3 linked regions of the Drosophila melanogaster genome follow. The protein of the gene in region 1 interacts with the protein of each later gene in a pairwise test. Each region holds a gene or a part of one and is shown on either strand. Other genes may lie near its edges.

Region 1 (7,988 bases):
CTGTCATACACACCCCCTCGCCAACAACATACAGCCCACTGTTTTTTCACCCCATCGCCCACTGGCTGTTTTCCACGAAAGACAGAGACACCGATGCGATGCCCGCCGTCATAATTGCACCTGCAAGGCTAACAGTCGCAGACAGTGAAGAGTTGGGCTGGGTAAAAGGGGTGTTCGCTGGGAAAAACAAGGGGCATGAGCCGGAGCAGCTGCACAAAAAGACGCACAAGGAACAATGACACGACAGAAATATGCCAAGTAGCCGACCCCCCAGCCCCCGCATCAACGAAAATGACAGCGGAAAAACAGGGGGTGGGTCGGGCGGAAAAGCTGGGAGACATATGATGCATATCGCAAATGTCGTTTGCTGTCAGTTTCCGGTTGTTGCAGCAGCCATTTTGTTTATGCATGAACACGAATGCGACTGCGACTGCGACTGCCACTGCCACTGCAACTGCCACTGCAGCAAAAAGAAGGCCGACGAGAGCTGGTGGAAAGCCGTGGGTGTGGAGTCGAAAAAGTGCAAAAGGAAAACCAGGTGGGCGGACTGTACGAGTTCAAGTGTAAACTAATTTCGCGCTTTGCACTTGGTTAGCCCGACATTGAGTTATGATTTTCGGTTTTCTTTTGGGGTCAACACTCATGGCACGTGATGCCTGGCTTTAAGCCATATTTTATGGATACCGTCCGCTCCGTTCCATAGCCACGTTTTGACAGCTTCACGCTCGATGGCAGTTGGTCAAAAGGGTAAACTGTCCCATGAGTGCTTACAAATAAGGTCAATCAATCACTCAATCAATCAAGGTGGCATTTGGGGGATTTGGTCTACCGCTTATGATATCATTACATATAAATTTAATAAAAAACTAAAAAAAATGGAAGTCGTAAATTCAAATAAATGTGTTACAAAGCCGCAAAAATACTTAATATTAATTAGGCATTTAATTGAATTACTAAGCAGTTCTATCTAGAGCAACAAAGCAACATGAAGCCACTTCAAATGCAAAACAGTCATGGGAACTCATTCCATCCTTGATTACCGATCACCTATCGCTAGAAACTTCGATTGCCATCGACGAATGCCGATTGCAGTTGGCTCCCCTCGACGCACATTAAGTCTAAAGCACTCCAAATGCCGCCGATTGCGGTGAACAATTGCTTTGTATCCTTGCTACACGAGGCATGTACATGCAAGGACTCTAGCAGGGACACACTTGAACGGGTTGACATAAGTCACGATGACTGGCCACAATGTTTGGATGATGATTAGGACCAGGCACTTGCAGACCACTTCGCTTGATTTGCCGGCATGACGTGTCACTTTGTGGGCCCCATAAAAAATTAACCAAATTGCCATGCTAAAGATTAATTTCAGCACATTGCGATGACCTAAAATACATTTAATTTTAATTTGGTTTGTTTGAGGTGTGCCAAGTTACAGGATTCTCTTCACATCACTTAATAGAGAATTGCTTGCTTCAATTTAAGGTCAATTTAAGGAAAGGTCAGCTGCACTCGCTTTTCAATACTTATTTAGCCTTGTATCCCTTTTAAAAACAAACTTTCGAGAAAAGAAGCGTGTGTGTGGACTAAAAGCAAACGGCAATTAAATGTCATAAAAGTGCTGTAGTATACTAAAGTAGGGATTACAATCTCTTCGACTTGTTTTTTAACTCCAGACGGGCAGCAGCTGGGACTGCATCCACAGCTGAGGGGTTCAAGCAACCGAGAATGTCTAGACATTTCCAGCTTTAGCCTTCATAGACAACAAAGTCTTCATTAGGCGAATGACGATTTTGCTGCAGATCGTATGACGTGATATTTATTTCCATTTCATGGCCGAAAGGAACGCCAAATTGGCCAAAAATCGAGAACGTCTGGGTTGAAATTGTTGAAGATTACTTAAATGAAAACGCTATTAAGTCCGACGAATTTAATTGCTACACCACCAAAGTGATGTGCCACACAAGATACTGCTAGATTTGAAGTTATATATCGGCATTAAATTTGATGTTAAACTTATATTTATATTGCATCTCTTAAAATTTAAGTTAGGTTTAACATGTCCAGAGAAAACAAGATACTGTGGCTCTTCGCCTATCCGATATCGAATATAATTGGAGAGTAATTGACTCGGTTTTCAAAAGTGTAGGCTGTAAATTGTTTTTTAGCTCATGGAGGTAAGAGAGTTACCGACGGACGTGGCAGTTTTTTCAAACAAAACTTGCACAATTCTTATCACTATACATATTTAACGTGTATACAAAAATTAAACAAAACAATGACCGGTATCGAAAGGGAAAACATGACCGACACAAAAAAGAAAACAAAAGAAAGAAATAGTATGTGTAAACTTCCGTAATTAAAATATTTTAAAAGAATCAAAAACATTTACACGCACAGGCTACAAAGCCATGTTGGCTTGCATAAATGAAAAAAATGGGTATGGATAATAAATGAAATATTGTAATGTAAGTTGAGCTCATACAGATCTGAAAACAAACAAAAGAATTGAAATCGGCACTTGCTTGACAATTATTGTGATGAATGAAAATACCATAATTCTTGTTTATGAATTGAACTAACTAAATATTAATTACATATTACAGAAAGTAAACTTAAAACCAATCCATATTATCCCTAAGAGTAATAATTTTATTAAATTAAAAGGCCAATACAAAATGGCTGTATTTTACGGAATTTCATCGCACACAAAGACTTTTGAAATAATTTCAGCACATTGTCCTTCTAGCTCCTTATTGTCTCATCTTCCTAGTATCCACCCACGCAAAAAAAAGCAAGGAGAAGAATGGAACCCGTTAGGCGTCATTATCGTGCACACTTAGTTATCCCTTTGAATGTCCTCCGTCCCTTCATGTGTGCGCTAGTGCGGGTTTTGTCCTTTATGGCCCAAATAATTGTGCGGTCTCCGGGTCGAGAAAACTATATTTTTAAAGCTGCGCTGGGGAAAGAGAGCGTTGATGGAGTCATTTGAGATCAGAGGCGATTACGGTTATTTGGTGTCTACATTAGCTTGTATGCATTTACGAATATGGGTTTATTTGACTTTACGATTAAAATAAAGCCTTATATAACTTCTGGAATATGAAGTAAAAACATTCGCAGCATTTGGGCTATACGGATTGGATTTTGATTTCCAGCCAACGAAACATTTTCTTAATTTAGGCAACACTAATCTAATGCACAATGAGAAATGGGATCCCATATACATCAATTGCATCAATCAATTTAAGTTTATAAATTTCGCGTTTTTTGACCAGTATGTTTTTTCACACTCGAACTTATGTTTTTCTGTATGGCGCTCAAATTCTTTAGGTCAATATTTTCGCCACGGTCAAGGACCCTAGTGTGTTTTTCTTCTTCTGGAGCTGTTTTATCAATGACTTCCGGAGCAGTTGGTGGTAGTACTGTTTCCGGTTCTGGTTCTGGTTCCGGTTCCGGTCGCGGTTCCACTGGCGGTTCCGGTTGCGGTTCCGGTTGCGGTTCTGGTTCCGCGGGAACGTACACTATCGGCGGATCAGGAGTCTGGCTTATAAGCTTATTATAGCAATGATGGGCGGGATGGAATCCGGGCTCGGGATCCTCCTTTGGCAGACTGTCGTCGGAAATCATCGATTGGTCTGTAGCCCGATCGTATTGGAAGTACGGAAGTAAGTCGTCGGAGTCTGTGCCGCAGGGCGGACACTCCTCTTCGGCGATCTCGGAGATATGTTCATCATCCACGCTTAGTTGACTCTCCGATGACTCTGTGAACTCCTCGCGGATCAGACGCCTGGCCAACTCGACCGTTGAGAACTCAGTGTAGTGCAGCTTTCGGCGTCGTACGAAGGATATGCGTCTGGCTCGCTCTTTGATAGTCTCCAGGAATTCGAAATCTTCGGAGTCGTCCGAGCTGCAGGATGGATCATGGGCGAAGAAGTCCGGCGTCGTGAGCTTCACCTCCTTATGCAGTTTTTCCATTAGCTCCTTATGAGACATGACCTTCTCGCCGGTTTCTCTTTTTATTGACGAGGCCGATTCATTTTCCACTTCATAGGGGTCCGAGTGAACGGGTACTCCCAGGTTCATTTTATCGAACCTTGTTCTTTTAGTCGTCATGGTTATAAGACAAAATGTGTTTGTTTTTTTTTTTTAGGTTCTACTTCTTATTTTTGGGATATATAAAATGTTTATACGTTTAAGTTTTATTTCTGCCCAGACTGAACTAGATGTGTTAGCTTTGATGTTTTAATCTATGTTAACTAGCTTAGCCTTATATCGGAAAAAATTCAGTAATTCATTTTAATCATGATCATTAGAAAAATAATATAATACTTCCAATGCAAATGCCTTAATATATTTGACGCTCTCATTTGCGTTTCGTTTTTTTCTTGTAAATTTACCCCACGACTTCGCTTAATCAAACCATATCGTGGACTTCAGTCTGGCTACCATGGCTACTACATTTTTTGATAACGGCCGCGATTTGCCTACGTTCCATAATTTGATGTCACATTTTTCCCACAACGCGGGTTAAGTGTTTAACCTCTGGTGCGAGTGGGCACAAAAAAAAGGGCGATATCTCGACAAAAGAAATTTGTTTGCGAGCCAATTTCGATTGTGTCAAAAGGACGGTTATTTATTGGACCGCAGGCGTCATTGTCTAGCCATCGATGGGAATAAATATGCCTGTGGCGTCTCACAAGGATGCATAAATTGTCAAAACGAGATTTCGACTTGCGATGAATTTAATTGGATTGCAAAAGTTTCTTCGCGTATCGCAAAACCGAAAATTGAGCTGTTGAAACGTGACGTTTCCACCAACTCAAACGGAACCGCAGCCAATATGCATACAATTAAACTGTATTTTCGGCATCTGGTTTTGGGATAAAAGCGCCTTTTATGGACACTCCATTTGACCCACATTCGAAGAAGGAATTCTGCCAAGAATAAAATGTTTATTTAGCATTTTATGCCAAAAGAGAGAGCGCTAAAATTATTTACGCAGCATCAGGCGTGTCATTTGCATGTGCCACGCCCCAGGCCCCCAGTCACAAAAAATTCAAGGCGATGAATCCCACAAAAATACGCTAAAAGTATTTACATTTGACTCGGAAAAATTATACATTTCCGTGCAAATAAAAAGCAAGTCCAAAGCATCTAGTCGGTGGGCGGGCAAAGGGGCGGACAGCATCGGAGGATGCCCGGAAATAAAACCAGAATCCGAACCAGAAAGCAGATTAGAGATCCTTGAGGAAGGCCACACGAACTCGAAATGCTCTAGGTGACGATTTCCCAAAAAAATATAAATTAAATTGGAAAAATTTCTTTAAGAAAAGCAATACATTGATTGACACATTTTATTTCTTAAATACAAGAAACTATATTAATATTCCAAAAAGTATGAAAGCAGATAAGTGGATTCATTTTGATAATGCCGATGAGATTAAATAAGGTATCGAGAATATCGAGGTGTTGCATTCAGTTCGTAATACTCAAGCCGCTCCTTCGATAAAGGACAACGGCAGGCGTGGCAAAAAAGCGCGTTGCAAAGAGGAAAAGCTTCAAATCCGCAAACAAACACTGTGACAGCTACAATGCGGGGAACTGAAAAGTGGGTGGCGCTGGGCAGAAAAACCCAGTCACCCGACCGAATGAAATGTACTCTCTATTGACATTTGATTCCAGCCTCACTTGGCTGGGAAATAAAAAATATATATGTGTATGTCAGGATGTGTACAAGTGCAGAGCGGACGCAGTTAGACCCGTTAAAGGGGTGGGGGGATTTGTAAATGCGGAAAAGGGGCAGCCGGGTTCTTCACTTTGTTGCACAAAGCCTTGCTCAGATTTCGGTGAAGGAAAACTCGTCGCTTTTCACTCTTCGAGGCTGTCGTTTTTCGTTTCATTGTTTGTTTGTTTGTTGGTTTCGTTTCGTTTCGTTTCGCCTCGTGCTGTTCCGTTTTCGCTTTTGTTTGTTCGCCTGTGGATTGTGTTTCCTGTTACAAGGCTTCCAGGATCCCATCTCCCTTACCCATCTCGAATCCCCTGTCCTGTCGCCTTGACGCATAAATTTGCCTTAATTTGTTGCAAAATAATTTCATTCATTTACGTGCTGCCATTTACATGGCCGTCGGTCCACGTTGATAACTTATTTAAGCGCTCTTTTCCCCAGCGAAGGAAAAACAAAATTTGAACAAAATAAATTATCAAACTGTCACATTGACGTATCGCCCAAGTGAGACAATCCGGGCAAACCGAGGAGTCAACGGGGAAAAGTCGGGCCAATCTCCTGGCCATAATCTAGAGCATCATGTTGCTCGTTTAAAGGATGTCAAAGGTTGGCCATATATCAGCAAAAGGCATCAAACGCAGTCGAGTCGAGGCATCGGCTTCAGCCCGTTAACAATTTCATGTAACAAATTCTTCGTGCCCGATGCCGGACACGGATACATGGTCAGGAGTGTTCGCCACTGGAGTGGGTGTAAGAGGAGCACTTGGAGAATTATTTTAAGAATATTTTACTATCCATTTTATGAAGAAACTTAATTAACGACATTATTCATAGTAAAAACATTTAGCAAATATATAAACAAAGTAAAAATGACTAATTATTCCTGCATTTATATAATTTAAGCCAATAAGCTGTGTGAAGAATCCCACATAAGCAAAGCATACAAAATCGGTTTTATAGTGAAAAGAAGTAACTTATTTCTCGCAGTGTCGACACCCGAGCTGTTTCAGATTTCCAATAAATATGCCTAGGGTGGTTGTGGTCCTTCTGCTGATCCTGATACCGCCTCTGGTTCTGGTTCTGGTCCTGTACTACTCTCCTCTGCACTGCGTTGGGTTTGGACTCGGAGCCACCGCACTTCCTGCTGTCTGCCACCCACTGTCGCTTATTTGACATCCTGACAGTTTCGACAGTTGCCTCTCGTTTCTCGCTCCACGACAAAGTGCGTAGGGACGCCGGACGATGAACGACGGCCAGAGCTTTGTTTATTTATATGGTTTATACGGTCGGGATGTGTGTGCAGGTTACCTTGTGCCGGCGCTGCGGTTGCTCCCGTAAACGATGCTTTGTTGGAAAAGCGGGAAAATCGGAAAATGCCGCAGAAAAATATCCATCGCACGCGGGTCTCCGGGTTCAAGGTGTAGCCCAGCATGTGACAAGGATTCGATGCTAACCCAGCTCTCGGTGTGTGTATTTGTGTACGGCACTGTTAGCCACTAACAAGCGGCTAAAATCTGTCGCCAACAATGGTGGCAATTGGATGTGGAACACTTGGTAAGGGTTTCAATCTGGCGGGGACTCAACATCTTTGATGTGGGTACAATGTTTCTGGGTTTCCTGGGATATCCAAAACTTCCAAGGGTTGAGAAAAGTCCTTTCAGTAATTTGGTTGCTTTATCATTAGAACTATCTTTTTCTATATAAATTTCCCTAGACTTTTAAAGAATGCGAGTGTAAATAAATGATACTTAAATATTATTTGCTTATTCTGTGCCTTGATCCCACTGTTCTTCAAGTGAATTGCCACCTGAGACAATGTAATTTTTGAATACTTCATCGGTTACTTTGGAGCGGAGTGTTTGAGGCTTGAGGTTCATAAAGGTGGCAAGTGAAATTAGATATCACTGTTCAGCTCGAATTCTACTTGAAATTGAGCTGTGAACTGTGAGCTCGATCTCGACCGATTGGCACACATATTTTCCGCTTTTGTTTGCAATTATGCGGCAAATGGAAGCAGCTTTTAGAATGAAGCGACCAACCTATCCATGCTCCATCCCATTTTGCTGTGGATCCGGGGTCTTGTTGATTTTACCGATTCCGCTGCAGGCCAACGGATGCTATGGACACACACAAGACAAACGGATGGACAGAAAGTTGTTTGCTTCATTGGCTGCCACAAAATATCAACAAGCATTTTGTTTATTTTCTCAACAAAACAAACACACACACACACACAGACCGACGTCCATTAGAAGGG
Region 2 (7,576 bases), on another chromosome or scaffold:
GACAAAAGAAAGATCTTTCATTGGCTGTCAAAACTCATTGTAAAATGTGGGGCCAAATGGGTGACGAGCAGATGCGATATGCTTTGGAAGGTGATGAATAAGGTCTTCAATTCTTAAATCAAGCCTCCAATAAATATAATTCTTAATAATTTTTCTATTGCATTGCTTTACGTTCTTGTGTTAACTTAAATGAATTATAATTTACTCTGAAGATTTGAATTGGTAAATTAATTTTTTCCCAGTGGATTTCGTAACTGATAAAACGAGGCATACAAAATACGCAACCGCAAAGTGTACACAAAATCTCCAACAGCAACAAGCACACGTCTGGTTTACATTGATAATATTATGGTTAATTGCATTCGTTTGAGTAGCTGCGTAGCTTTAAGCCTGATCTCTTGTCTAGAGACGCAGCCCAAATAGAAATAGTGTTCGCATTTGACGCAAATGAACGTATAAATTATTTTCTCTATCTCGTGGCATATGTATTTTTAGGCATTTCTCAAAATGTCAGATTCAAGTGCAAAAAGGAAATTATTTCTAGGGCTCGTTGAAAGCGAAATATACATATGTATACAATTTTACAAAATATCTGCGAGACATCGATAACCCAAATATTTTCATGGCCTGCACATGAATCGATAATGTATCTTCCCTATATATAGCGAATAAATGGAAATGGAAAACGAAAATAATGGCGCCTCGCTGTTGGGGTCTATACTAAATACCAGTCTATTCCCATTTGAGTCTTAAAATGTGAGATTTTTTATCTCAGATATACGAGATACAGATTCTCGACTCGCGATGCAGTGGCGTGTTTTTATTTTGGCTTATTTCTACAGTCATTTAGATAATTTATATTTTGTTTTTGTGAAATTGCATGCTCTTAAAAATATATAAAATATATTTTCAAGTATATTTCATGATCTTTTTGCATTTGTTTAGCCTGGCGGCCGTCTGCAATTGGCTTTCTCAGCTTATTTAATAAATGACATGTGCTCGGCTATGACGTCTGTGGGAAAGTTGTTCGACTGCCAACAGATTTTCTTATTCCTTTTACTAGAACTATTGCAAATGTCTTATAAACGATTAATCTTTGTTTATAAAATATTATGGCGGAAGTGGTATTTTCGCAGTTTTATAAGAAATGATCTTTTCACGTTCCAATTTTTAGAACCAAAATCCTATCCTCCCCATATTAAAATTCAAAGATTTAAGTTTGAATCATAAGCTTTCGATTTCTTTTTGACCACAGTCTACATAGTTAAGATGCGCTATGAAAACCATCTACAGCTTCTTGTGTTACTTTCTCGGACTTTCCTTAAGATTTCCCCTCAATTGACATCTTACTATTTAATGAATCTGTTATAGGTTGATACACCCAATTCTGACCACAATTACCCAGGCTCTCACACCACTAAGTTCCCATCTAGTTCAGTTGGTGGTTTAATAAGTGCGGCGCCATAATCTTTGAAGGCCTGACGTCAAAGTGACTGAGTCCGCCGGCATTTACAGCCTTCTTGATCGTTTCGGCGCCGCTGTATCGAGTTACCTACATTACGTAATCTTATCGCCCGCACACTCACCTCACTTCGCCGTTGCTGTCACTATCCTTGCTGCAGATACAGCTATGACTGGCACTGTCCGCGACATCGGTGTCCGTCGGCGAGAGATCTGCGGAACTGGCTGTAGTGTTCTGGGATTTGTGCAGGCAGGATTTGCGGCTGAGACAGGATTTGGGCTGATTGGTGAGTAGCGGCGCCGAGGCCATTCGCTCCAGGTAACTCCGTCCGGAACGACTGCCCACGCCCAGGGGCGTGGCACCCGCCTTCTGCTGACTGGGACCCTGACCCTGGACCGCCGCCGAGGCGTTGTTGACCATGGCTTTGGAGGCCAGCGTTATCACTTGGGGCCGGCAGTAGCGCGACGCTCTGTTGGGCTCGTCATTGTAGCTGAAACAAGGTATGCAAGTTTAATTGGTTTATTTTTGTATTTCAAAACTTAAATTAATAACTATAAAAATGTTTCTTAAAATAAATTTATTTAATATTTATTTCATAACTTAATTTCGTTACTATTCTGTCCTTTTAAATGAGTGTTGAATTCGTTCAAAAAATCAAAAGGTTGAATATCGAAGGTTGAATATATCACAATCAGTTAAAATATATATCTCTAACACCACTAATTGAAAATATAATTTCTATATTTAAACATCAGCAGATGGTAGCCATCTTTCAATTGTTTTGACCATTTTTTGTGATTCTTTTTTCGTTTGGAAAGCAGAAAAGAAATTCCCAAGATCAGTCTTTTATTTCAAGCATCTACGCATTAAGCTGCCTTTTATCAGTCCTGATAAGAGTGGTGGCTTTAATTTTTACTGCCTCAATGCCTGCCTTCATTGTTCGGAGGCCCATGTACTACTTGTATTTGTACTTGTACTTGTGTAGTCCTACTGATACGTGTATATTGTCTATAAAGAAACATCGCTGATAAGAGGAGTTGCGCGCGACCTCCTCACTTAATTCGGGTTTGCCGTGGGTGGGAAATGTATAGTATGAATATGAAGCATATTTGTTTGGGTTCTTCAGTGAGTCATTTCTAAAATTGTATAGTCGGAGAGACTCGCTGGTCTTACTCATTTGGCACAGTTCACATCCCATTTGTAGTTATCATAATTTTTCGGCTAGACATTCATAAAACTAAAAGTCAATGGTTGATAAGGATCGTTCAATGGGGTTCGCGTGGACTTTTGCATGCTAAACATATGTTGACGGCATGCTGATACGTCTTTTTCGGCGTGGGCCTGGCTATGGGAACATTTCCGTCTGCTCTGCTGTTATCATCAACTTTTTTTGGCTAATTGGCGCTGTCTGGAGACAATATCAGCATATTTAGTGCTTGAGTTGGCAACCAAAAGAATTCAATCATTTTCGATGACGACCCGCCCAGTTACGTGGGTAGTTCTAGGTATTGGGTGGGGTAAACTGTTGTAAAATCACGCTGTGAAATTTCAAGTGAGTTGACGCATTAGCAGCTGAGTTACTTGAGTTGGTTGGAGTACTCGGTTTGTTTGAAGGCATGCCGCTCACGTGCCCCGATAAGAAATGTTCATAGTTGTAGGGATCGCAGTAGGGCTTTCGCATGTATTACCTCCCACAGTTTTATCTACTGAACCTCTTTAATCTTAACTGATTATTTAGTTTTTTACCGGTTCTTGTAGCGTTTGTTTTGCTTGGCCATACTCTAGATATAGATTTATTTTTAGCTGAAGTCCTCATATATACGAATATAAGTTATACGAATTTTCGGTATTGTATATTTATCATTCCCAAAAATAAAATACTCTCAACAAATATGATGAAAATGCAGCGCGTGCAGCAAATGAAGCACGGCAAATTGCTTTAATTCAATCAATTGCTCTCGCCTCTGTATAAATATAATATATAGATATTACCCTTCTTCCCTTTACCAATTTGTCAAATTTTCGGCTTGCTCGTGTGCCCCTGAGAAAAAAAGTTGCGTCAAGCGCCACGCGCAAATTGTCGCCAAGCAAATTTTTGGCGTCACCCCCACGACTCGTGAACGAATCTTCAAATCTCAGTTGGCTCCACCAGCGAAAGATCACCTCAGAATCGGCGAAATGTTTGTTTTGGTTCAGTATTCTGTCTTGCCTTGATCTTGAATGCTTGCTTTTCATATTTTGCCAATCTGTTGTTGTCAACCAAAAACGAGCCTTAGCACGAATATTTTTAGTACCTGCATTCATTGTGTTTTCGAATAGTTCTCAGGTTTTAATACTATGTATTGGGTAAGACATGTTTCCTGCCTTTGATCAGGTGTTAAAATTTCCATAGACGACACTTGAAACAGGTGTTTCATGTGAATCAATATGGGCAGCCCTCGAGAGATCGATAATATTCCTTTTCTGGATTGTGTAAACAACTGAGTTCTTATATTCATTAAATGGAATTACGGCATTCCGGTCTGTTTATTTTGTTAATGTGGGTTATGTTTGGGTATTTTGAAATTTGTTTTAAATTTGAATGTTTAAAATTATTGTTTAAATATTCGCCAGAGAGAACGCCTAATGCAAAAGGGTATTAATCATTTTTATCTGTTATGTATTTTTTATCTCTCAGTTTAATTCATTTACTATCACATGGTTTTTCAGGTTATCAGACATTTATATCGTTTCTCTTATTAACACGTACACCACTTGTTAAATTCATAAAAGATGATGCATCAGAAAATGCTTCTAGTTCCTTATCAATCGATAAGAAAGTTAAAAAAATATTTTCTTTCGACATGAAAAAACCTGAGAATTGGTACTCTTTCAATGATGTTTGGCTATTTAATTTGTTTTGATTGGCTGCCGAAACTCGTGGATTCACTTAGAGCAATTCTGTGTTAAATTAGTCCAATTGCTGGCTATATTTATTTATGAGTTATATACTTTTGTAAACTTACTTCAACGATTGACGGGGATGTCCGCTCATGAAGTCCGCCAGAAAACTAACGGGTGGACTGTGACTGAATATGGGCGGACTGTGCGAAATCATTTTATATATGGCTTCGATCTGCGCTGATTACAATGATCTCTACAAACAAGGAACTTTGGTATGGAAGCCCCTGTGGAAAAATATAGAAAATTAACGATTTGTTTTTGTTGCTAATCGAAGCGCGGCAATAAATGAACGTTTAATTGGAAAGTAATGTGTAAATAGAATGCATGATCCGAATATATAATATATGTTTATGAAATTTCATATTAATTGCTAATCTCAGGTGGAATCGGAATTAATGATGGTATAATATAGCAATACCATTTCCATAAGAGATAACATTCGAAACGTTGTTAGTTTGGTCCAAATGCATGTTAAAATCAGTTTGATTCGAAACAAGGTGATGTAAATGCTGATACCCAAAATAATAAAATGCCCCCCTTCTTATGTTTTATAAAGTTTTTCATGATATGTTTATTGTGTAGTTTTAGCTTTACAACTAACCGTTAATTGTTATCTCCACTCTGTTTTCCGCTTCACTTTTGACTTCTGGCTAGGAGGTAAGGAACTTTTCTTTTTCTTGTGCAGTCAATCCACTTTAAATTTTACTGTGATCTTTCTTTCTTTGATCTTATTTAAATTTTTACTTTTTCATTTGTACATCACGCGTGAGCGTCAGACAATGAAAAACGATCGTTGGGACGGAACCTTAATTGAATTTATTAAAATCCTCCGATCGGGGCACTTTTTTCGTGGTCACACACACAAAACGACGAACGATTTTTAATAGATTTTTCGCGGACTTTGCTTAAGTGTAGCTAAATTTTCTTGTGTCAATTATTTAACACGGACAAAAAAACAGCAACTAGTTTCCGTCGCGTTCCCCGCTTCGTTCCGTTCCTCCTATGAACCGTACGCTTCGACGATGCGAAAACGAATGAAAATGTTTGTTGCTGCAACTTGCCGTTAAGACTTGATCGGGGCGACAGAAAAAGAGAGAGAGAGAAAAAGAAAAAGAGAGAGATTGGTTGTTTGAATTCCCTTCCAAGACATATAGACATGTTAGTGGAGCGTTTGTAATGTTATCAGAATGTTATATATTCAAGAGGCCAGTATATAAAAACAGAAAACAGAAATAACAGTAAAGCAGAATAAAATAAAATCATCCCATTTTTACTACTAATGAACGACCACATAAAACAGTTAAGTTTTCTGCTCTGTTAGTACTTTAAAGGGTATACATAATTCAGCGTTCTGAACTCGCGTTAGGTTTCTAGAATAGCCCCGGTCTCTCTCTCACTCTCTCTCTCTCTCCTGATCGACGTGGCTTGCATATTTTGATTGCATTTTGGTATTCCGCAGTGATTGTAGTTGTGGTTTCGATTTAGCGTCGGTCCTAGTTGCTTTGATTAGTTTTGGCGCCACTGGCGGTGACAAAAGTCAAAACGGGTGTCAGCCCCTCGAGACATGATCACATGCACGGGAAGCATCCCATCTCCCAAAATCAAATTTCCCACTGAGCCTCGTGGCGCTCAAGTGAATTTCAAGGAGTTTGGCAAACACTTTTTCCGTCTCAGCTTTTTAAATATTTATCTTATCGAAGTCGATAGGTTATAGCCTCTGGTCTGTTCAGTTCAATATTTATAGCCTTACGAACTAGAATTGGTATTATTAGTTAAATTGTTTTTTATTATAAAAGATATTTCACACACAGATTTATAAGGGCCTCTTCCGCACTCAATTGAATATGGGACATTATTCACCACTCGACTCATTTGTGAGTGGGTTTTGGTTTTATGTGTCTGCCCACGCATTTCTTTTATGTGAGGGTGCTCCCCTGACATATGTAAATCAATTAGGCCTTCCATTAGGGTCTCGTGAATGAGACACTTTTAGTCTATTTTCATTGCTGAACTTATAAAAAGCTCTTCGAATTTAATCGATTTTGGTAATAAAAAAGGAAAATATGCAACTATATTAATTGAAATTTTTTATAAATAATAAATACTATAAAACCTAAGTCTATGTCTCAAAAAGTACTTTATCTGCTTTGATAAGTTATCAGCTGATTATAAATGCATTCGTATTAAAAATAGTCCAAGTCATTAGTGATTATAGCTTAAAATTCCTCATCAATCCCATAAAACTCGCGCGTAAGGCCATTATTAAAATAGAAATCAACACCTAAACCTGCGTAAGAGGCTCAAAATTTCAAATACTCAACTAATGAAGCATTGAAATTGATTTTCCTCGTCGCTTTTTCTTTTCCAATCTATGCATGTAGAGTTCAGGCCAGTTTCGACCCACATGATATCTGTCGTACCCACATCAAAACTGTCCCAGACAAGCGGAAACCGCTGAATGCAACCAAGTCTGCTCAAAAATGCAGTCTCAGGCTCGACTATTCGGAACTCGAAATTGTGGTTGGGCCTCCTTTATATAGAGACTGTATATGTATTTGAGTTTTATCTATGCTCTATTTTTGGTGTGCGTGCTCGGTGTACATTCACTCATGGCGGTTCGGTGCATAGGCATGGACATTCGAGTCTTTTTCTTTTTTGATCAGGGAAATGTTTTCGTAATGCCTGATTTGAAATCACATCTCGAAGCCCATGATAATGCAACTCTCTGAAGAGATCACGCTTTTTGTCTCTCAAGAGCCTCAACGACTGTTAAACAAAAACGTACTTTGAATGCGCACTTTCTTCATTTCTTCTTCGACTGCCAACGCAGCATCCCATTGAACCTCGCTGATGAAGGGGGTTTCTGCGGACAAAGGGGTTTCGAAAGGGGTTAGGGGCAAAAGAGCCGGCCGGCTAAGTTGCTTGCCTAGTTGAAAGCCGGTTTCGAGAGATCCCTGCGTGCATACAGAAGTGGTTACTTGAGTGCCTCGTTGCAGTTGCCGGTCATTTTTATCGGCATAGACCAGATGAGATGGCACAGGGGCGTAGTATATGTACGTTATGGAGACTGGGAATTTTATCTCAATGAAGAGCTTTTCATTTAGATTTGTGAAAAATTAAGATATATCGTGATGGTGATTAAACCATTGAATAGATAGGTTTCACTTACAT
Region 3 (7,653 bases), on another chromosome or scaffold:
TTGCGCCGGCGATCCTCCTCGAAGTTGTTATTCCTGGCCCACTCCTTGAGGTTGCCCTTGGAGCGCAGCATGGCGGACTTGGAGTCCACGTCGCGCAGCACGAAGGGCGAGAATCCGGCCGTGTAGTCCTGATCCAGAGCGTTCGTCTTGGTCTTGGCAACGCGCGACGGCATCTGCCTGGGCATCGGCTGATCCTCGAACAGGATCGGATTTCTCGAATGCTTGCCGCCCTGGAAGCGAGGCAGGCTCTGATTCTTGTACTTATTGGTCAGCGGACGGCGCGTATTGATGTGAATCACCTGGCGACCGTTCTCGTCCAGACTGACGGCCACACGTTTCAGCGTCTTGTTGCCACAATTGGGGCAAAACACCTTGGTCATGATGCTGGTGGTCTTGTAGCACGCGTAGCAGCGGAGTATATATGTGCGCAACTGCTTGATGATCCGGCCATTGAGGGCGGCCAGGTGGAGATTTAGCTGCTTGAGCACGTTCTGCAGCGCATAATCGGTGGTCATGCAGGCGACGGGCGGCACTTCATCCGTTTCCACTTTGCCCTCGAGCGCTTTCTTGGCCTTCTTGATGTTTGAATGCGTGATCCAGCCATCGTCACCCACATCCTCGTCGAGATTTTGGCTCTGTTTGGCTTCTTGTGGCTCGGATACCTCCTCATCTACTTCGGCCGGCTGGGAAACGAGCAGTTCCGAGAGCTCTTTCTCTTCCTCGGCACTGGGTGCGCATTTGAGCTGCTCGAACAGCTTGTCCAGCTCCTCCTGACTGGGCTCCTGGTCTTGGTCCTCCTCCTTTTCGATGGTCTCGCTGGCAAATGGTTCCTTGCCGGCCAATTGGGCTTCGATGGCGGCTTTAACAGTGTCTGGGGATTCATTTGCCTCCTGCTCATCGCCTTCAGCATCGTCCTCTTCCTGGGAGTAATCATCTTCCTCCTCGGAATCCTCCTCCTCCTCCTCTTCGCCCTCGGGCATGTACCAACCGACCAGTCTCTTGTTATTAGCATCCTGCATCTCCTCGGGTTTATCCTTGGACGCAATGGTCTGCGCCATCACAGGCTCCTGGCGCAGGTGATCAGTGCCCACGTTGTCTGCTTCCAGTTCGTAGGTGAGCGAGATCACTTTCAGATCGATCCCCGAGAGACTCGCGTAGTCACCCGTTTTCTTGGCGAACTCCACGCAGTGTTTAATGCTCTCCGGACGAGGCTCGCGCACCTGGAGGTCGAAGGGCAGAACGCAGAGGCGGCGAATCTGGCGCTTGTTGCGCACTTCGGCCACCACATCCGGCACGGTGAGCACCTGCTCCGCGTATTCCTGTAGGGGATTAGTGGCGGCTTTAGATGGCTCGAATGGGCAAATTGTGCGTGACTTACATTCAGGGGCACGGCGTTTATAAAGGCTGTGGTGTCCGCCACAAGGAACTTGATCTTTTCGCTCGTTTCGGCCATTTTCAGTGCTAATTTTCACATGAAAAACAAAGGACGGCAAAAAATAACAATTTCTGCACGTGTCGCGATTAGTGTGGCTGTAGTGAGCTGTGACCGTTACGTTAGGGTATGCTAAAAATACCAAAAAGTGTTTATGAATTTGTGATTTTAATATTAGTTAATTAAATTTTACATTTTTAAGAGTTAGGCAAAGCTAAATGAATGCGTTCCCTAAAATTTTATTGCTAGCTCTCAATAAAATTGTTAAAATTAATTCATGTTAAAATATATTTCTATGAGATATTATATTATTATCACAGGGAGATATCGGTCCTGACTACTTAGACTTTCGGCCGGACTGTTGGAAAATTACCAAATTTACTTAACAAACTACAAAAAACATCAGTTAAACAAAATATCACTTGACTTAACTTATATTAACATATTTACAGATATGAAAAAATGTAGTAAAATGCCTGGTCTGAGAAATCTATTAATTTGCTGCAGATTTTCAAAAAGCTCATTAGAAGGTCTGCCAGTTTGATCTTCTTGTTTATTTTTTTTTTAACATATTTTCGTATTATCAATACAACTTCTACGAATCAATCACTTAAGCAAGCTATCTTTGCTAATTTTTCAATTTGTAGGCTTGTAAGTGCATTGGATTACATTCAAATTATTTTATTAATTGGCAATGGAATATTCTAGGGTGCTTGCGATATATGGATGCACACTCGCAGCACGGTCACACTGCCCGGCCCATTTAGCTGACAGTTCCATCTCTAGTTTTCAAGCCAAATATGGCGAAGTTTTCATTATCAATTCGTTCAGATAGCAAACTGAATTAGTGAAAGGTGGACGATTTTAAACGGAACGGAGCCAATCCGCCGGATTTTGTGAAAGCCCAACCGAGCGGTACAAGTGTGTTATTCGCTAATAGGCTAATCAATCCAGTGGACACGGTATGTGGGGCCAATGGCAAACCGCCGCCGCAGTGGCTCCCACTGCCGCTCTACCTCCGCAACCGTCGGTTCCGCCACCGTTGCCGGACGCCCCGCCCCCTCCGCCTCCATCGGACGCGACCGCCGGAGCCGGAGCATCAAGCGGTGCCTCTGCACCCATAGTCACGACTGCAGCCGCAGTCACAACGGCCCCTGGATTCAACCCCTATAGCAGCGGCCAGGCGACGGGGGCTGGCAACCCCTATCAACAGTATACGGCCGCCCAGTACGCGGCCATGACACCCGAACAGCAGTACGCACTGCAGCACCACTGGCAACAGTGGCAGACATACCAGGAGGAGTACGCCAAGTGGCATGCCCAGTACGGTGAGCAGGTGGGTCAAATCAATTAGTTATCGACGATCATATTGCTATAGTAGTCTTCCAAATCTTTAGTATAAGCGTGAAATGGCCGCAGCCGCGGCCACAACTACCGCAGTTCAAGGCGTGCCCGCGCCTGTGGTAGCGACTCCTGCAGCAGCACCCGTCCCTGTGGTCGCTCCTCCCGGGCCACAGGCCTATCCTGTCGCACATAACTATTACCAAGGTGTCAGCGCCTCGCCGGCGCAGTCAACTACACCCGTAGCCGTCGCGGGAGCACCGCCACTGCCCGGTAAGATCATGGCCCAGCCGCAGATGTACAACCAGCCGCCGCCGCCACCACAAAAAGGCGGTTACAATCAGCATCCGAATGACATCCAAAGCATGTGGTCAGGACCACCGCCAATGCAACAGCCGCCGCCAAATAGATATGGTGGCGGTCAAATGAACCAGATGAACTACAACATTGCCGGGCAAGACAACCAGGGATTTCCGAATCTCCAGCAGCCGCCGCCAAGTTTGCAGAGACCAACACCGCAACAGCAGCAGCCGCATTTAAACCATATGGACCATGGCCAGTGGGGAAATAATCAACACGGTGTGGGCAATAATAATCGTCCTACCTGGGATACCAGTGGTCCGCCGCCTGATAATACCGGCCAACCCAATCGCTGGAATGGCCCGCCGCCGGCAAATGATGTCAACAATCGCTGGAATGGAACGTCATTTAACAATAACACCAATGATGGCAATCGCCGCTGGGATGGGACTTCAAATCAAGCGCCGTCTGGCGGGGATCAGCAACTAAATCGTTGGATGAGCGAACCACCGCCAAGCCTTCCGAATCCCAATCAGCAGTATCAAAACCAGAATTCCTGGATGAGCGGACCACCACCGAGTATAAGTGATCCGCCACAGGACCATCAGCAGCAAAACAATAGCAGCCAGAATGCCCGCTCGAGTCGCTGGCAAGGAATCAATTCCGACATCGATACACCGCCAATGAGGACTAACAACAAGCCAAATAGCATCCAGAATAGCCGCAATAGTTGGGGTGATGGAGGTGGAGATGGAAACCAAAGCAAGAACCCATTCATTAAGAATCCACAGTCCGATTTTGGCAATTATGGCAACAGTTACAATAGCCAAGATCAAGGTAGTGCAGGAGGAGGCAACTTTGGCGGCTTTGGAGATGATAGTGGAGGCAAGCAAAGCCAGGACAGTTTTGCTGGACGTGGTGGAGGACCCGGCAATAATATTAATAATAACTTTAGTAACAATCGCCGCCAGAACAATCGACGGGATAACAATCGTAACCAGGGATTTTCCGATGAGAGAGGCGGTGGGGATTCTGGTCCAGGCGGCTACAATCCAAATCGTGGCAATTACAATCAGCGCAACAGCTTCAATCAGTCGAATGCGCCCTACAAGCAGTCGCAGCAGAACCGCAATCAACAGCAACCACCCGATTTGGACGAGGCCAGTTTCGATCTGCTGTTCGATCAGTGGGAGCAACAGTTCGAAGAATGGAAGCTGGCCAATGCCAACCATCCGGATCGTGACGAGTATCGACGCTACGAGGAGGAGTTCGAGAAGCAGCGCCGTCGCATCGCCGAGAGAAGGGAGCAGATGCGCCGACGTCGCCAACTGCAGATGGGTGGTTCGGCAGGAGGCTCGACCACAGACATAAGGAAGGAAGCAGCCGCAGGTGCATCCACGACCGCGGAGCAGAAGCCAAATAAGGATCCCTTCGAAGGCCAGGGCCGTTTTGCCGATCAGGGTGACCAGGATCACGGATCGGGTCCCAACTTCGGAAACGGGAACAGACAGTCCGGAAATGCTGGTCATTTTGGAAAAGAGAATCGCCCCTTCGAAAGCGCCGGAGTACCTGCATTCAGAGGCAACCAAGGACCGCCACCGGGGATGCACAACCAGTACCAAACCGCCCAGGAAGCCATCCAGCAGATATTGGACGAACAGCCAGATGAATCCAACCAGGAAATTCCAACCAAGCCGGCGGCATCAAATGAAAATTCATCTGATGTAAAGAAAGCAAAAACGACAGCTTCCCCAGTGGCTCCACCGATTGCACCCGTGGTGCCGCCCGAAGTTAAAGCTCCAGCTGCACCAGTAGTGCCAGATCCGACAGTGGTTCCGCCCACGCAGCCTCCTCCGGTTTCCACAAATTATGGCAAGCGCCGTCAAAGAGCTGCTCCCTCACAAATACCCGCTAAGCAAGTCAAGGAGGAGGAGCCCATATTCACCATTTCCCTGGACGACGACGACGACGATGATGAGGAGAAAGAGGTGGTACAGGACGCACCTAACACGCCCATGGGCAGCATTTTCAAGAAGAACGATGGCATACCCGGTCTGGATTTGGTGGACGATGGCAGTAACAAGAATAATTCGTCCTCAGTCTTCAATGTGGTGCTCAAGGATTCCAGCGAAAAGAAAGCGGCTGATGAAACTGAAAAACAGCCAGGCGACGTGTCCGCCGACAAGAAGGGCGACGAATCTCTAAGCAATGCCCTCAAGGATCCAAATTTCATTAACAATCTCTCCCAGGCGGTGGCCAATGTACAGGAACGCGAGCAGCGCGATCGTCACGAGCAACGCGATGATCAGGAATCGGGTACGGATGGACGTCCATTGTCCTTCGCCGAGTGGCAGCGCAAGAAGAACAGCGGCAACGAAAACAAGTCGCAGGATGCCGGCGACTCGGTGAGCACCAATAACGGTGAGAAACCGGACAATAATGGCCCACCTGGTGGCTTTGGTCCCGGAAACGGACCAGGCGGAGGTCCAGGTTCTGGTCCAGGTCAAAACGATGGATCACGTTTCGATGTCTTTGGACCAAATCAAGTGTCTGGAAATAATTTCATTGACTTAGATAACAATGGTCCACCTGGCTTTGGACCACCGGGCAGGAACTTTGGACCCAACGGTCCAGGACCGCGTGGAAACTTTGGACCCAACTTCGGGCACAACTTTGGACCTAGAGGTCCGGGCGGGCCGTTCATTAGACCAAATGGACCGTTACCGGGTCCGGGTCCGAATTTCGGACCACACTTCAGACCAAATGGCCCCAACTTTGGACCAAACTTTGGGCCCAATTTCGGACCGCGTCCGGGTTCCCGCAACTTCGGGCCTCGCGGACCCGATGGTCCTTTCGGTCCGGGACGTGATGACTTTGGCGGTCCGCCGTTTGGCGGTCCACGACCCCACATGGGACCCAATGGACCAGGTCACAATATGCGCGGCTTTAACGGTGGACCAATCAGTGATAATCCCTTCCGACGCCAAGGCGGCCCACCGGGTCCGGGCTTTGGCAACGATGATCTGGGCGCAGGACCACCGAGAGGACCCAGAAACTTTGGCAACCGCTTTGGAAATCCAGGCGGAGGTGGTGGTGGAGGAGGAGGAGGAGGAAACAACAATCGGAAGAACTGGAATGACGGGTATGTGTCTTCAATCTGTTTTTAACTTTTTCGACTTGATTGAATATCTTTTCACTACGTATACAATAATATCGAAATGTTATATCTTGACAAAAAATTGTGGAACGGGGAAAGATGATTCTTTCCCCTCCCACTATGCTCTGCCAAATTCCAATATCAATTGTCTGATTGTCTGAGGAAGATATGGGAACGTTATCTTCTCAAGAGCACTTGCTATTAGTATTCATTTGGATGGTACAATCTGGAAATATGTTTGTTTTGGGGAAATTCAAGTAGGGCTGCATGCATATCTTTGAAACGTTAAAAAAAAACAACCTTAAACAACATTATCCATTCAGTAAATTCGTTGATTTTGTATTAAGTACAGATGCTATTTGCACTTATAGTTACTGTTTTAAGTGTTTTTATTATGAATAATCAGTCCATTATTATGCCTAATCAATCCATGCGTTGGGGGTTAACCCAAACCCAAAACATTATCAAAAACCTGTGGGCCGTCGAATGATTGTTTGTCCGAATGTACGCAGTACTATCGCCTATCGATGGGCTAACAAATATCTGAAATATCTGATGCAACGTTTTCGAATAAGTAGACAATCTGCTTCCTATGCTTATTTATTCAGCTCTATTCACATTACGCATATCCGTGGGATGCCTTCTCAAACGGCCTGATGTTCAGATAGCCTATAGATATATATATATATATATATATATATATATATCGTTCTCGTTGGGCACTATTCCGCTCGATCCCCCCTCTTACCCACATTTTTGTAACCCTTCACTTTCTCTATCTGTATCTGTATTGATATCATCAAATTTAATTTAGTTAACTTGTCCAGGCCATTTTCTAGTTATCTTTAATGCTGGAATTTCGATTCCAACCCCGTTTTTTTCTTCTTCTCTTCTACTTTTATGCAATACTGATATATAAATACTGAATATAAAAATATAATTAAAACAATCTTACAAACGAACGATAACCAAATCGAATACGAAAACCAACACGCAAATGAATATCTAAACGGTGGTATTGATTGATTGTTGGCGATGTTCCCGATACCTATGCATATATGCATATATCCACCAATCTGTGTCTGATCCATTGTCTGTGCAGCAAGAGAAGGGGGCGGTAGGAAGCTCCAGCAACGGCAGCAGCAGCGCAGGACCTGATCTTTGATCTCTGAACTCTGAACTCTGAACTCTGAACTCTGAACTCTGAACTCTGAACTCTGAACTCTGAACACTCGAATTCGGGATCTGATTAGGCGACAGAGGACAGACTTTGTTTTGGGGGGCGGCTATCCGAGGGAGGGCAGATCGTGAAAACTCCTCGAAAATAAACATACTTAAATATATATAACTAGCTATATATACATGCAGCGTACAGAAGTCAGAGAAAGATCTATAATATTAAGATTATCACGCATACGCATCT

The links. Proteins that work in one complex are often made in the same cells at the same time.
Region 2: the proteins of CG12620 (region 1) and Gbs-70E interact in a two-hybrid assay, tested with the Drosophila melanogaster proteins (one large-scale study listed by BioGRID).
Region 3: the proteins of CG12620 (region 1) and ZAP3 interact in a two-hybrid assay, tested with the Drosophila melanogaster proteins (one large-scale study listed by BioGRID).

The regions. Positions count from the first base shown.
Region 1 is NT_033779.5:17,083,856-17,091,843, reverse strand, and holds CG12620 (uncharacterized protein), read right to left. Parts: upstream 4,204-7,988; 5' UTR 4,120-4,203; coding exon 3,256-4,119; 3' UTR 2,658-3,255; downstream 1-2,657.
Region 2 is NT_037436.4:14,545,531-14,553,106, forward strand, and holds the start of Gbs-70E (glycogen binding subunit 70E), read right to left. Parts: upstream 5,446-7,576; 5' UTR 5,007-5,445; intron 4,630-5,006; 5' UTR 4,560-4,629; coding exon 4,468-4,559; intron 1,953-4,467; coding exon 1,587-1,952; intron 1-1,586.
Region 3 is NC_004354.4:10,077,048-10,084,700, reverse strand, and holds the start of ZAP3 (ZAP3), read left to right. Parts: upstream 1-2,208; 5' UTR 2,209-2,396; coding exon 2,397-2,768; intron 2,769-2,829; coding exon 2,830-6,215; intron 6,216-7,332; coding exon of another isoform or gene 7,333-7,351; exon of another isoform or gene 7,352-7,653. Other genes in the region: CG2972 (uncharacterized protein), read right to left, coding at 1-1,319, 1,379-1,453.